Lytechinus pictus: one gene and its partner. The protein of the gene in region 2 interacts with the protein of the main gene of each other region in a pairwise test. Links are inferred from orthologs where the notes say so. Each region holds a gene or a part of one and is shown on either strand. Other genes may lie near its edges.

Region 1 (7,912 bases), on a different chromosome or scaffold from region 2:
ATGGATCTTCTGAGGTAAATATGTGTTGTATCTCCAAAAATTAACCCCAGTGAACATTATTATTATTTCCTACAGCTGTGTAATTTATAATCCAAGGTATCAATTGTGGCAATTTGTATGCTTGTTTGCACATCGTTACTTCTGAATCTGATTTCAGGTTTTTTAATGAAATAATCCTGGCTAAATAACCAGCAGAATTCAAGTATCCGTATCGTTCCACCTCTGCTACACACATGAGCGCCAACTAGTGCGTAAATGTACAAGTTGTCTAAAATTATCATCTAAATCGTGCTGATATTATGACATCTGCAATCACCACAGAAAGCAATTTCTCGCACGCAATTAACTGGTGTTCTCAGCAAAATTTGATTTATGCCCAATGCTAATGGGGGCAATCAGGGGGCAACAGGCACAAATCTTGTTAACTATGCTCGTTGCCCTTGGTAACCACATTTGTCTGTTGTTTTGCAGGCATGGTCAAATATATGACCCCACTTTTGACCAATCAGAGGAAAAGATTATTTGACATTCTTAAAGAAAAGAGGAAAAGATTATTTGACATTCTTAAAGAGAGGTTTATAATGCTCTTTATTAGTTATGATTTCTATATTTGGGTAATAAGTAGCAGTAGGCAAGCTACATAGGTTATCAATGGACACTTACTTCTTGCCAGCTTTAGTTCCTTTGCCTGGTTTACTCTTAGCAAACAAGGCCTGGTCTAGTTCATTAAGCTGGACCCCCTTGGTAGTGAAGAGACGCTGGGCTCGTTGTTCCAGGGTCCCACCACATTTCAGCCCAAGCGCCATCAGGGCTGACTTCAGACGATCAAGACCAAGCGAGGCCAACTCCTGTACGTGAAAGAGTAAAAGTTCAATGTAAGTCTCAAATTTGCTTATCCCATCACGTGACAGGTTAAATAGTACAACTCTCCACATATTTTGTACTCAATATGCTTTCTATGGTGATCCTCAGCTAGGCAATATTGCTTTAAAGTAACAGGTTTAGTAGTACAACTTTCCATATTTTCCTTCACAAAATTTCCCTTAATTAAGGTGTAGTTGGTCTCCTTTTTAGCACCACTTATGTCATGGGTAAATGTATTTGACACAATATAAGTTGAGTTCACCAAAAGTACAAGCAGAATCTTTAGATATACAGTAAAGGAGAACAGGAGAAACTATAAAATTTGAGTACAAAACATATTGAGATTTGTACTGTCATTATAAAGCAACTTTTCTTGGGTGAAAGAGCCGTTGCTCTGGCAACAGGCCATTTCCAACTTTGCCATTTTGAGGATTGCCAGAGGAAGTAAATCGAGTCTTCAAATTTCACAGGTTTTTCATTTTGTCACCGATTCTAAAGGAAATTTTCAGGGAAAAAATGCTTCCCTTTACTCTCTCCTTTCATTTAAAAGACTTACCCCAGGGATTTCCCCTTTCCTTAGAAAACTCACAGTAAATCACCAATTTGTCTAGACCAGCTTTGTCTTCAACTAGTTCAAGTACTAATAAATTTGGCTAATTACAATGCAAGCCCAATTACTGCATTGTCTTATTTTCAGTTAGGCTATATCCACTTTGTTCTTTATCCACTTAGTCTAATAACACTTAGCCTATATAGGGTTAGATGACCAGTCTATGAACCAAATTTTCAGTTTGAAAAAAGTAAAATATAAGTAGAATAAGTGGAAATTTATAAACCCACCAGAAATGGACTAAATGAGGATTAGATGAAATAGGTATTGGATCAAGTGCAGTGTAGACCAAATGGCAGTTAAATTGGTAGTAGATATAATGGGTTTAGCCTATGTTGTAATAGACTATCTAGGAAGTAAGCCAAATGATGGTTGAACCAAACTGTTATTAGGTAGTAAGATAAAGTTATGTTCAGCCCATGTAGACTATCTGAGAGGAAGCCAATCTAGGTGTAGATTACCTCTGATGATGAGAAGGCAGACAGGTCAAGATGAGCACCAGCATGGGTCATAGCACTCGCTGCTTCTTTCTGCATATAACAAATGAAAATAAACACACAAGACTAATTTGGACTTCAAGGACATCTATAATACAGGCCCCAATTTTCTAATACATAGATTTCTTGTTGTTTGGTGAGACATATAAAATGTATGATAAAGCAATGGTAAAAATCTCAGAAAAAAAGTCAGTTTCCATTTTACAGGCAAAGCTGAATGAAGATAAAGCATGAAAAACACACACTAAACACTGCAAACATGTATGATTAGCAGATCTTCCTGTCTTGTATCATAGTGGATATTGCTTTCATACTGGTACTCAAGATTTTCACTGCATTTCTTGTACTCCACTTCTTTGAGGGAGGACTGGAAAATTATGTTTCCTATGAACTTGGTTGTATACGACAACCAAGAGGATATTGAAATGACTTTCAACCACACCCAACTCTTTCTAAAACACCACAGCACATGAGATGACTCACCGGCCAGCCAGGGAAAGTACCTGCTTCCCACTGAATATCAAACTCTTTCTTGACCTTATCTAGTTCCTCTGCAAAGTCCAAGATTGGTTTGACCCTTGACGCATAGTCCTGCAGATAACTTAGTATTAGGTCCAGATACCTAGGATAGGACATAAAGAAAGATATAGTTAGAATGTTGGTAATCAGCATGGAAATATGGGCCTTCTTATATCATAATACAGATAAATAAGAGAAAGAGAGAGAGGGGGGAGGGGAGGGGTGGAAACTGGCAGGAATCCCTGGATATTGATAATGATCACATGGACAATGGAGAATCATTACCTAAATCAAGCTGGGTTTTTTACCATAGGATAGAGAAAGAAAAAGAAAGGGAGAGAAAGAAAAAGAAAGGGAGAGACAGAAGGATAATGAGTAAGAGAGCATGGATGAATGAGAAAAAAATGTATTTCTTCTTCATTTAGTTGGATTCTCTAGAATTCATTGAATGATTGTTACCACAACAGGAATAGACTTACCGTCTATATTCCGCATTCTTCTTATCCTTTGATATTTCAAAGAGCCGATCAGCAATGGAAAGGTAGGTCACATAGTCGACTTTCTATAGGATTGAAAGAAAGAGAAAACAGTTCAATATGAAATTACATTTCACATAATATTTGGGATTGGATTTGAATTGATATGTTTATTTACAGAGTTGCCAACTTTGTGCTACCAAAAAAAAAAGTAATCATGATGGCTAAATATAAGCAAATTCCAGCAAAGGTTGAATTTCCCACAAAAAAGGGAATTCATCAACATGAACCTGTCAGAAGCTTATTCAAACTCCCCTTTACTAGCCAGTGGAAGAGCCTATTTGGTTGAGTAACTCCCTAATTTGTTTATGAATAGACCAAACCTAACTGCTAGAGTAGGCAACCCCTCACTGTGTTTGATAGCTATTGTGTGTGTGCACTGCATAGGGCTATGCAAGCAAATGTTCAGCAGACTGCAGATAAGCAAGCATAGGGTGCAGCAGCATCTTTCAGCAGCTCCTTGGCTGGGAAAGCCAGCACTTTGGTGCCACGCCTTTGATATTTGGAGTGGCATGTAAGCCAGCAGTGGTTGGTACACTGGTTGGAATTCAAGGTCCAGACTGTAAGTTGATGTTTTATTTTACCATATTATTATGAAAAGCTATGATTATATTTAGAACCCGTGATGTTGATTTGTATTACAATTAAACATGATGAAGGATAATTATGCTATTTGAAGACTAAGATATGAGACATACATCTACATGTAAGATATCAGATATTATATTTATATGTCTAACACATGTCATGAAATGATTGTTTTAGGAAGTGACCTAATTATCTAATATTTAAAACTTGAAAGGTATTTTGTCCTTTATCAAGACAATTAGTCTATTTATACAAATGTCGAAGCTTCTGTTTAAACACTTGTTAACTACGAGAGTGGTGACTTTTATATGAGTAAGGACACTGCTATTAGGTACTCGGAAGCAAGTATAGAAAGTTCATTGACCTGCTTGAATGTACTCAGCATTTATTCTATTATAAACCATTTGAATAACAGAAATGATATGAACTGTAGGCTGTTAATCCTTGCGTATTCTCTTCCAGACGGCCGTTTTCTCGATGATTTATCCACGTCTCTTGACGTTTTACCACGTGTCTCCACGTTTCCATGTATTGCCATGGTTCTCCTCGTTTGGCAATGTTTAGCTACGTCCTACGTCTTGTGACGTTCACGGCCTCTTCGACGTCTTACGACGTTCTACGATTGCTACGTTCTCTACGGAAAGTCCCGAGTTCTTGGTTAGTTCATCGCATTCGCGAGTTCATCCCCATATCGTCTTCCGTTCGGCACATTTCTTCAGCATCGCATGATCAATTTGGACATTGATGCATTTGACGTCTGACAACGGGTGATGAGTGAAGACTTGAGAAACTGAACTTTCCCCACAGTCGGTATACGTATACTATATAGATTGTTTTCATAAACACAGAGTTTATGCTCTTTCCTTGAATAGGAATTGCAGGTCACAATACTAACTTAATTTGTCTAGATTATACTAATTTGAATTGAGACAGATTGTTCCAAAACGTTGTTGATACTGTTTTCTTGATCTTTATGTTTTGACAGCTTGTGAGCCTCGATAATGGCAATATTGATATATATAATAAATTCATTTTGATCGAAATGTACAATTTCATCTTATAGTTTAATTCTTGGGTGGTCAAACAGCCTGATTAGAATAATAAGTCAAGTTCACATCAAACACAATGTGACAATTTGGGGGCTTGTCCGAGTTGTTTGGGCCATAACATACCCTGTTGGTTGAATTAATTGGTATAGGATTTGATTGTCTAGGATTTTCTGTTTGTCTTTATTGGTCAACAGACATAAGATTTAATTGGTCGATGACATGACCCCTCGCAAAATTTGTGATACGTACTTATGAACAAATTTCTGTTCAATTTTCAGAATTTAGCCGAAATCCTTCAAGTTCTTTGTGTCAGTGGGCCAAGGACCATCCAGTGCACCAACACTCCTGCTAGCGACGAGCATGCGCAGCAAGGTCAAGTGCGAGTAAAGGTTTATTTTGGATTGTCGGTGAGTTGCAAAATTGAATATGTATGAAAATTGTGCCACACAAGTTATCAAACACCCCTATAAGAAATAGTTGATATAGTATATAGTTACTCAATAGTTCTTTGACTTAGGTAGGGGTAGTTTGAACATTTAAACATGAGTACTAAGTGGTTTGAGATTGGTAAGGAATTAGGTCTGTCAGGGCCTGAGCTTCTTTCATTTGTAGGAGAAAGGGAACAATTAGAGCGAGAGGAACGTAGGGCTAATAGAGAAGTTAGGAAAGAGGAAGAAAAAATTCTGGAGATGAAACTTGAATTGGCTCGTGTTCAGAGCCAGAGTAGGTCTGATAGTATGATTGATAATGGTAATGGAAACGGTCGCACTTTGGCACCAACCCCTAAACTCCCTCATTTTGTTGAAGGAAAAGATAATATGGACGCATATCTCAAAAGGTTTGAGAAGTATGCGGAGGTTCAGTCATGGCCAAGAAGTAGTTGGGCCATTAGTTTAAGTGCACTCTTGCAAGGTAAGGCACTCGATGTGTATTCAAGACTTCCAGCAGATAAAGCTGAAGATTATGATGCCCTCAAGGAAGCATTGTTGTTAAGGTTTGAACTTACTTGTGACGATTTTCGTCAAAAGTTCAGGTATTCCAATCCACAGTCCGGGGAGACCCCAAGTCAATTTGTTGTTCGGTTAGAACATTATTTGAGTCGTTGGATTGATCTGTCAGGTACGCAACGTACATTCGATGGTGTAGTAGAAATGTTACTCAAACAACAACTGGTTGAGAGAGGTGGAACCTCTCTAGGTCTTTTTCTGAAGGAAAGGAAACCTAAGAATATTTCAGAGATGACTAGTCTAGCAGACACGTATGTAGAGGCCCATAGTGGTCACTTTGGAATTACCAGAAAAGATAAGAATGATAAGAAGGGTAAGCCACAAGGTAGTAGGTACCCTCAGTCAGACAGTCCCGACCTTTCGTTTGAGGACGCGCACGCTTATTTACGACGTTAGTTGATTTTGGAAGAGACTTTTTGGGCCCGTCATCATGGGTGTAAAACTCTGTACTACAATGCAAATTGTGTGACATGAGATTTTTTTTTCGTTTCGCATCTGCGACGGAAACATTCAATATGCGTTTCGTGTGCAAAATTTTGGTTGCTACTATGGTAACAGCGATATATCCGATTGAGGACGACTTTCCAAAGCCACATTTGACTCCTCCTAGAGCTCGAGAGGCCGCCCGGGGGCCCACTCCCATTGATTAGTGGATACCAGGAGCGACCACGCGTAAAAGGGGACAGAGTGGGCAGGTACGTTACGTATAGGCCTATGTAACGTTATAAGGGTGTCAAAACGATGTTTAAAATGCTGACAAAAAAGGGATATATACCCAATACTTGTAGGGTTTCACAAGCCAAATTCTTGTTCAGAGATGCATTTTCATAATCTGGAAAAGAATTACTTCCCAGCTTGTTTAGGGTACTTTTCGAAACCCCATGGTCGTGCCTGGTATCCACTCATCAATGGAAGTGGTCCCCCCGGAATTTGAATCTAATCCCCCATTTCTGGGGGAAGTAAAACATAATGCCCATTACATCGTGTGCGAGAGGCATATCGTTTGTGTAGAAGGAGTAAACAAAAGAAACAAAAGAAACAAAAAGAAACGATCGAGTTCAAACGTATTGCATATGGTGTGCACATATCAACTCACGCGAAATGTTCGGCTGGAGACTGGAGAGGTTGATCTGACCCATGAAATCAATTGCCAGTGATACACCAATAATCCACATTAAATCTAATATCGATTCGATGGACTGTAATGATCTATATCTAAGCCTTCATTCAGTAAGTTTTTCCTCACTCAATATGTACTCGATTTGTTTGAAAAACCATTTTCTTATCCATGTCATAATCTATTTTAGGTCTGCATTTCGAATATCTCCAGCCATTAGTCGTAATATACATGCATGTACATGTATGGTGCGGGTGTCGCGGAAAAGGATTTTGCACACGAAAAGCAGATCTGTAGGGCCTGTAACCCCCCTGTAACACAAAGCTTGGCATTGATTGTAGAGCAGTTTTCTACGTTTGATTCTATTGACTATAATGCACAATCAATCTTAAAAATCAAGTGTATTATTAAGCGTTAACTTTTGTGTTAGGGGACCCTAATATTAGCGTCCGTGAGGATTGCGAAAGGTCCCAAGTGAAGTTAAGACAAGTCCGGGGATTTTAAGAAATCCGCCTCCTGAACGGAAAAGAATTGGTCCATGTTTCATCTGTAACAAGATGGGGCATTTAGCAGCTAAATGTAACTCCAAATTACAAGGTGCAAGTCTAATTTGTAGTACTGATCATTCAAAAAGTAGTAGCCAAAATCAGAAAAGAGAATCAACTCAGTATGAAACAAATAGTAAAGTGGCAGTTGATAGTAGGTCAGATTCTTGTGCAACTTGTTCGCTTGTTAGTCCAGATATGGAAGGAAGTGAGACACTTGGACTTTTGTTAATGTCTTTAGTTAGTGAGAAAGATAAGTCAGAGATAGTTACTAGAGATACCTTACAAAAATCACTGATGATGTGTGCTGCATGTCAGCGTCGTTGGCATGGTAAGTTAACTGTTGTTGAAGGTAGGTTTGGATCACACAAGGTTGATGTCCTTTATGATTCAGGATGTTCCGGTGTTGCGGTTAAGAAAAGTCTTGTGAGGTCAGATCAACTTACTGGTAAATATAGACAATGTGTTTTGATAGATCACTCTCTGTAGGTTTCCTACTGCTAATGTTCATATTAGCTCCCCTTTGTTTGTAGGTACAATAGAAGCACTGTGTATAGAGACACCAGTTTTTGACGTTATA
Region 2 (7,606 bases):
TATCTAAAAGATGAGACACAAACAAATCTATATTTTGAGCTTCCGAGAGCTGTTACACTGTAGGTCTACAAATTCATCTTGATTAAAAAAAATTGTCCATAAAGTGTCTTATAGGAAATTTGATGCTCTTTCTGATGGTATGTTTTTTTTTAAGTAGGGTGCCTCAAGCAACAGTGAACAAGAGTGTCTCAAAGGCGAGCACATAAATACTTGCATCGGCCAATAAATATCATGAATCTTCCCTTAAAGACCCTGACCGGTGTAAAAACAATCATATATCAAAATAAAGGTAATGATGATGGGTGATGATGGGTTCTTGTATAGCGCCGGTATCCGCCTCAGCTGGGCGCTCATGGCGCTTGCTCAAAAATAGGAAATATCTCACAAATTTCAATGTCTTCAAACAGTGCTTAGGATCATCATTCAGTTCAAGTACTGTCCTAGTAATGCTACAATTGAGTTATTCTTGCAATAATGTTGGAGTGGGGAACAGAAAAGTCTTCAGGTAAGACTCAAAAGTTGATTGGGATATGATTCATACAATACGAATATACCCAAAATATTACATATATCTCCTTCCAATAGTTAAAAATATTAAATAAAAATCAAAGAAACTGCTCCTCCAAAGTACGCTTCGATTGAGCACCCCCACGTCGCCTGGAAATGATGACGTCACGTTGTGTCAGGAGGGTTGTGATTCCATAGGTTTGTGTACAAAAGCATTGGGTATTTTCTTCCATTTCCATGTTATGAATCCATTTTTTTTTTCGTTTTCAGATGAAAATGGCACTCAAAATTATTCACTGTTCAAATTGTTGTAAACCTACAACTATTCACTACCTTTTTTGTGATTTCTTTGTTTGGCTCTTATTGGGCCTAAATTGTCAGGAAAAGTTGTTATACATAATCTAAATGCAGATAGAATTGAAATCTGCGCCAAATAAGCAGGAAATAAAATATGGCAAAAACTAGTTCAAAACTGCAGATTTCATAAATTCAAGCTTGTGGGTAAAAATATATGTGATATCCCTCTGTGATAGAAGTGAAGAGAATGAAATGCGTTATCTGGAAAGCAAAAAAATCACCCAGTTTTTCTGTGTACAAACCTATGGAATCACGACGCTTCTTACACAACGTGACGTCACGGTCTCGAGGCAGGTGAAAAGCACAATAAAGCCTATTTTCTAAGCGGGGTTCGAAACCCGATAATTGGAATATTCTTAAGCAAAATACTCAGCTGGGAAGCGGTGAAAATGCATAAAGCATACCTTGGTGTATTTAGTAGCTTATAAGCTTTCGATTGGTATATAATTTATCAATTTCATTTTCGGGTCCGGTCTGGATCTTTAACATTTAAGGTAGTATTCATGATATTTATCGGCCGATGCAAGTATCTTTTTTATCTAAGTTAGCACTGCTCATGTCATGATATTGTCACTGTCTATACGCATCATGTAGTTAGGCTACGATAACAAAGACGGCTAGGCAAGGTGGCGACAATAACAGACTGTTAGTACAGGTAAACGCTCCTCTACTTTTAACATTTTCAAGTTTTTTATGTTTAATATTATTTAAAAATATGACTCTTTAGTGCCAACAGGGTCCAAATGGTATTGTAGCCCATTTATTTTAGACTATAAATTAAAGGGTAGACAATGGCACCAGGGGCCCGTTTCATAAAGGACTTGCAACTGGTGCAACTTTGCCATTATGGCAATTACCGTGGTAACCTTGATTATGATTGGCTGCTGAGCCCTGTTACCATTGTAGTTGCCATTATGGCAAAGTTACAACAGTTGCAAGTCCTTTATGAAATGGGCCCCTGATTGGTGCTGTAGACATGTGTCCGAAATATCAATAGGTGAATTGGCCTCAAATTTTCATTCTATATTTTGAGTGAACAATGTAGTTACATGTAGCGACATCTTCATATTTTCTGGCAGCCAAGTTGATTATCTATCAATGTGACATGTTTCCACAGCTCCCCAGAGGCTCAAACAGAGCCAGGTCAGCATAAAGACTTTAAAATGCTTATTTTCAGCCACTAACCCACACAGTATAGCCTAAGGGGATGGGCCAAATGCTAACTTACATGCATTTCCAGGCGCATTTTATGGAGTATTTAAGCCTTATTTTTCACTATTTAGGAAATTTTGACGTAAGCTTTGAGCAATGTCTTTGACAATCATGCTAATAAAGAATATATTAAGGTAAAGTTTTTTAGTAGTAATGGTGTTTCGTTTTTTTCCGTTGTCCTACCTGTTTAAAATTGGGCTCAAAACCCAAAAGAAAACATATATTTTGGAGCAACTTTATGACTTTTTTTCTTCTGTATAGTGAATTTTATTGCCCTGCATTTCCCATTAAACTAAAAAATGTAGGCCTATATTATAATTGACTTTGTATTACTTTGATGTAAAGACTTGCAAATGAAGTGATATATAACAACTTGGCAAAATATTCAGGAGCCTGAGTCCTGGCTGTGCTAACCTCGACTTGGGCTGAAATTAAAATGAAAAAACTTCCCGTAAAAAAAAAAAGAGTGCCATTTTTTTTCTGAGTAAATCAGCCCGTTTTTAATGACAGAAATTTTCCAGTTTGGCTTCAGACACTGATTACTTTAACTGCATCACAATAAAGGGCAAGGCAACAAGGATAAATCCATAATAACATCGAACAATAGCATTGATTAGCTGCCTTGAGTCGGACTCTTGTCCTAACTCCTAGATTATATAGTTAATTTCACATGACATAAATTTCAACACGTCGGACCGAAGCCGGTCGAAAGGAACACTGCGCAGGCGGGATATTATCATTAAAAGCAAAGCCAAAGGGTACAGCCGTACACAAAAGCAGTCAAGCACTCTTAAAACTCTCTCTCACATTGAATTAATTCGAAGAACGTTCACAAGTATTTTCTTCTAATATAATCAAGCAATGAATACTTACGGAAGGTCTACACAAGTGAAAAACAAGTAAAGAGTGTTCACTTATTTCCAACAGAATCGTTGTGCGTGCAATTCTCGTTTTGTATAAAGCCCTAGCCCTCTATAGTCCAAACAGGAATATTCGACAGAGGATTTTTATAATTTTACATAAATTATTTCGAATTTTGTGAGACTGGAGTTGCTGCTGAAACTGCATAAAAAACACAATATCAAAAAAAATTGTTCGCCGCCCCCCCCCCCCCTTGTCCGCAGCTCCTTTCGTCATTTTTCCTCTTGATTGAGAGTTGATAGTTCCATGACCTAGACTTCTTATTTTTTCCCCCTTTTTTTTCTTAATTCATTATTTCAACTTTGTGCACTATCTCTCTTGTATCCTTCCTCCGTTCACCCTGAAAAAAACTTTGTTGTAAAAATAGCAGAAAAAATAATAAAAATTATTGGTGAAGGTTTGAGGAAAATGCGTTAAAGAGTAAGAAAGTTATTAGAGTTCAAAGTTTTGGATTTGTGACGTCATAAACGAGCAGCTGCCCCATGTGTTATGTAATATAAAATGCATGAATTTCAAATTTTGCATGGTTCCTGATGACTTAATTTTGTTTTCTATTCATGATCGGGTGTGAAATGATTTGTCTATTGATATACAAAAGGTACAGTGAAAACCATTTTCAATTTTCTGAGAAAATGACATTTCATTGATTTTTTACCATTCGCTATGTAGGAATGCTGCTCGCATATGACGTCACAAATCAAATAATTGAAATTCTAATAACTTTTTAATTATTTGATGAATTTTTCTCAAACCTTCGGCAATATTTTTTACTATTTGTTCTGCTATTTTTACAATAAACTTTTTGTCAGGGTGAACTTCCCCTTTAAGGTCGGAGATCGCTGGTAACAGTTGAAAAATGTAAACACTTCCTAAGAGTTGTTAGAGCTGGTGAAGTTGCTGAGGAGTTTTTGGCGGGTTGTGTGAAGGTTGCGAATGAAATATAAAATAAATGTGTGGAGCTGGGTTTTGGTGTCATTACTATGGTGCACAGGGGGAAGAAAGAGAACACATTCACTTTTCACATATCACTTTTCTCAGGGGGTACCCACTACCCAGCACTGACTCCGCCCCCCCCCCCCCCCGTATCGACGCCCCATATAATCAACATTTTCCATGTATAAAGTATATCCACGGCAGAACCTTGCTGTAAATCTACCAGTTCGCACAATGAATTTACTTGATGAGAATGAATTAATTATAAGGATAATCGCACAACAGAGGTTATATTTTCAACAGCCCTTGAACCCAAAAAAGTGCGTCGATCACCCTTTTTTCACAGTCACATACAGGGGCCGCGGAACCGGGGGGGCTGGGGGGGGGGGGCTTCAGCCCCCCACTTTTTTTCAAAACCGTGTACAAAAACGTAAAAATTACCATATGATTGTGATTTTTAGCATGGTCAGCCCCCCACTTTTGGCTCAGCCCCCCCCCCCCCCCCACTTTGAAAACCGTTCCGCGGCCCCTGACATAGATCGAGGCAAAATCAACTCCAAATTAACCAAATGTAAAACGCTATTACCAATGACCTACTATCGATTGGTTTCTAGTTGGTGTCGTACTTGTGAATGTACGAGTCCATGGCGGTTACAGGAAGGGGCACAACGCCCCCCCCCCCCTTGAGAGCCATAACAAATCTTTGTAAGGGGATATGTTGTGCATACGCAAGTGAGGACCCCCCCCCCCCTTTATTTATTTATTTTGTTTGCTTGTCAAATATTTCATTCATCATCACCATTAATTTGGAGTGAAGCCTAGCTTTCTTGAGGCTTAGTTTTTTTCTGTATACAATGCCCCCCCTGGAAATTCCTGGATTCGCCCCTGGTATAATCATGTTGTCTTAAGTACGTTCAATGTATAACGGAAATCTCACGATTATTATTATTTCCCATTATTCTTCCAACACTTTACTCTTAATTATTCCACTAAATCGTGTTGCATTTGGAAATTTATGATGAATGGGGATAATTTCATAAATATTTTGCTTTAACGCGTTGTCAGATCTGACAAAGTTCCTTGATTTTGATTGGCTGTGAAGCACTGCTACCATGGTAACTGTCGGATTAAACGTCTGACAGGTCATTTCATCAGACGCTCCCCTGAGAATCAGGAGCATGCTAAGATATTTTTTTCTCACCATCTTAATTGTAGCGTGTTCATCAATAACATTAAATGTTTATATAATATTGATACAATCACCTGAATTGTGCGATGAACCAAAATTCCACACTTTTATGCATTTATGATTCTCATCTTATATAATTTGATACAATTTTAATCATTGCGGAGTTTTTTTTTCGGGGGAGGGGTAAATCTCCCATAAACACCCGCTTACTTCATCCGCCCCTTTTTATGGGGGGCGTTCACAATTTCCCTTAATATACGAAATATATGAAACATTTGAAATAGTGTATCTTAAAAAAAACATTTTATTTAAAACGAATATATTGCAGACCCAATGTCGGATCGGTAGGGGGGGGGGCTTAAAAATAGACTTTAAAAAGTGCAAGATAGAGGTGTTTAAAACCGGCTATCTCTCTCAATTGTGATTTATTTCAAAATCGAAATGGCTCAAGTTTTCTACCGCAAACTTAATTGCTAATTATAATTTTAATTAGTTAATTTCCTGTCTTTGTTACTATCATGGTCATCGTAATCACGTGATAATGAGAAGCTTGGCATCGGGCCATTATTATAAACAGGGCGGGATGGGGGGGGGGGGCTTGCCCCTTAAATTCTTCAAAACTTCCCTTTTATTAAAGGGGCTCCTTTAATATAGAGATATTTACAAGACCAAGCCAAAACAAATTCCATTTTCTTTTCTTTTTTTCGCCCCAATTTTTTTTATCCTTTCCCTATTTTCATTCTCTTTTTAATAATTTGTTTATTTCTTCGATTGGAAAAAAATATGGTTGGCAAACTCTGTCCCCCTTCCAATCGAAATTCATCAACCACCGCACATGCAATTACACCCAATCATTGCAGGCTTCTATTCATTAAGTACGTTTTGTCTACATGCCACCTTTTAAAATAGAGCGAATTAGAATATCTAAAGGGCAAGTCCAATCCAAGAGGCAGTTGGGTTGAATAAAAAGTGTAAAATGACACAAGCATCAAAGTTCATCAAAATCGGATGTGAAATAAGAAAGTTACGAAATGCTTTACAATCACTTAATTAAAAAACAGTTATATTTACGCCGTGCTCCTATTGTGGGGGACTGATGGCATCACCTACTCTCCACTTATTTTGTATTATATTGTATGAAATATGAATTTTAAAAAATGTTTTCACCCAAATTTAAGGTCATTTTCGTCCACGGAAAATTTGACAAGCAAGAAAAAAATGGTCCTCGTTTTCAAGGGGGGGGCACATTTGTGTTAGAACGGCAAATTTACATTGTAAATGTTTATTATGCCTCTCAAGGGGGAAGGCATGGACCAGATGTGCCCCCCCCCCCTGGATCCACCAGTGGAATTGTATTTTGTATTTATGTTTTTGTTATTTGTATGTTCAAACAAAAAATGGATATAGAAATTAATGAAATAAAACCAAAATAAATTCAAACAAGGTATTCCTGAACACATGCCATATGGAATTGTCATTGTTTAATTATTTTGTGGTTCAGTCAAGTTGGTCATTATTGTAAAAATAAATAAAAATCCTTACTTCAAACTAAAAAAAAAAAAGAAAGAGTGAGAGGCATCATCGACTCTTACATTTGCATATCATACATACTGAGTTATGTTTTGTAAAAAAAATAAGCAAAACTTTAAAATTGCATATTTTTCTTATTTTACATTCTGATTTGAAATTTTCAGATTTATGCTAGTTTGATTTTTCTCTTTTGATTCAAATCAACATTTACTGGGGTGGAATAAACCTTTATTTACAAATAGTCTATATATGCACAAAAATGAAAAGTACAGGTCATTCGCCTTCCTCTGATTACACAATCCTGAAATTTCCACGAAAAAAGGCAGAGATAATCTTCGAGACTAAAAGTGTTGACAGACGTCTAACCACGATTAATACAAGTGAGAGATGTATTAATCCATATGGATTTAATTCTAATCACGTGCAGCATTAACGTTTGATTTTACACTGGTACATAAATGCGTAATGCACTTTCCTGCCTTTTAGTATGCGAAAGGGATCGGATGCGTAGACAACTGCAGTTCGTCGAATGCAGCTAGCTGATAGATAGGGATACCTCACGCAATTCACATTGCTTTGTTTGTAGACTATCGGAGTAAGAAGGTGAGTTTTCAATATCTCAATTACTCTATTTAATTCATTTGCTAGTCTGCTGTGCAAACCCTTGACTCGAGTTAAGGGTCTGAATGTGCAGCCTACTGATGCCTTTTGTGTACTGAAGGCCCTCTCTCAACAGCAAGTTTTGTATGTGTTAGTCTTTGCGTGGAAACCCACTTGTTGATCAAGGTTTCAATGAGGGTCTGTGCCTGCAGACTAATCATTGGCGGCACATGGGATATATGAGAGGCAAGGCGAAATATGACGACATATTAAAAAAAACATATTGACTAATTATCATGATCATGGTGATATTATAATGTTATATGATCAAGATCACTCCGTTTTATACTTCTTTCT

Evidence for each region.
Region 1: the proteins of splicing factor 3A subunit 1-like (region 2) and splicing factor 3A subunit 3-like interact in a two-hybrid assay, tested with the Caenorhabditis elegans proteins (2 studies listed by BioGRID). The link is inferred for Lytechinus pictus from reciprocal best matches to the Caenorhabditis elegans genes prp-21 and prp-9.

The regions. Positions count from the first base shown.
Region 1 is NC_087248.1:31,928,694-31,936,605, forward strand, and holds the start of splicing factor 3A subunit 3-like, read right to left. Parts: upstream 3,412-7,912; coding exon 3,355-3,411; intron 3,053-3,354; coding exon 2,970-3,052; intron 2,594-2,969; coding exon 2,455-2,593; intron 2,005-2,454; coding exon 1,936-2,004; intron 849-1,935; coding exon 664-848; intron 1-663.
Region 2 is NC_087250.1:20,509,132-20,516,737, reverse strand, and holds the start of splicing factor 3A subunit 1-like, read right to left. Parts: upstream 3,064-7,606; 5' UTR 2,950-3,063; intron 1-2,949.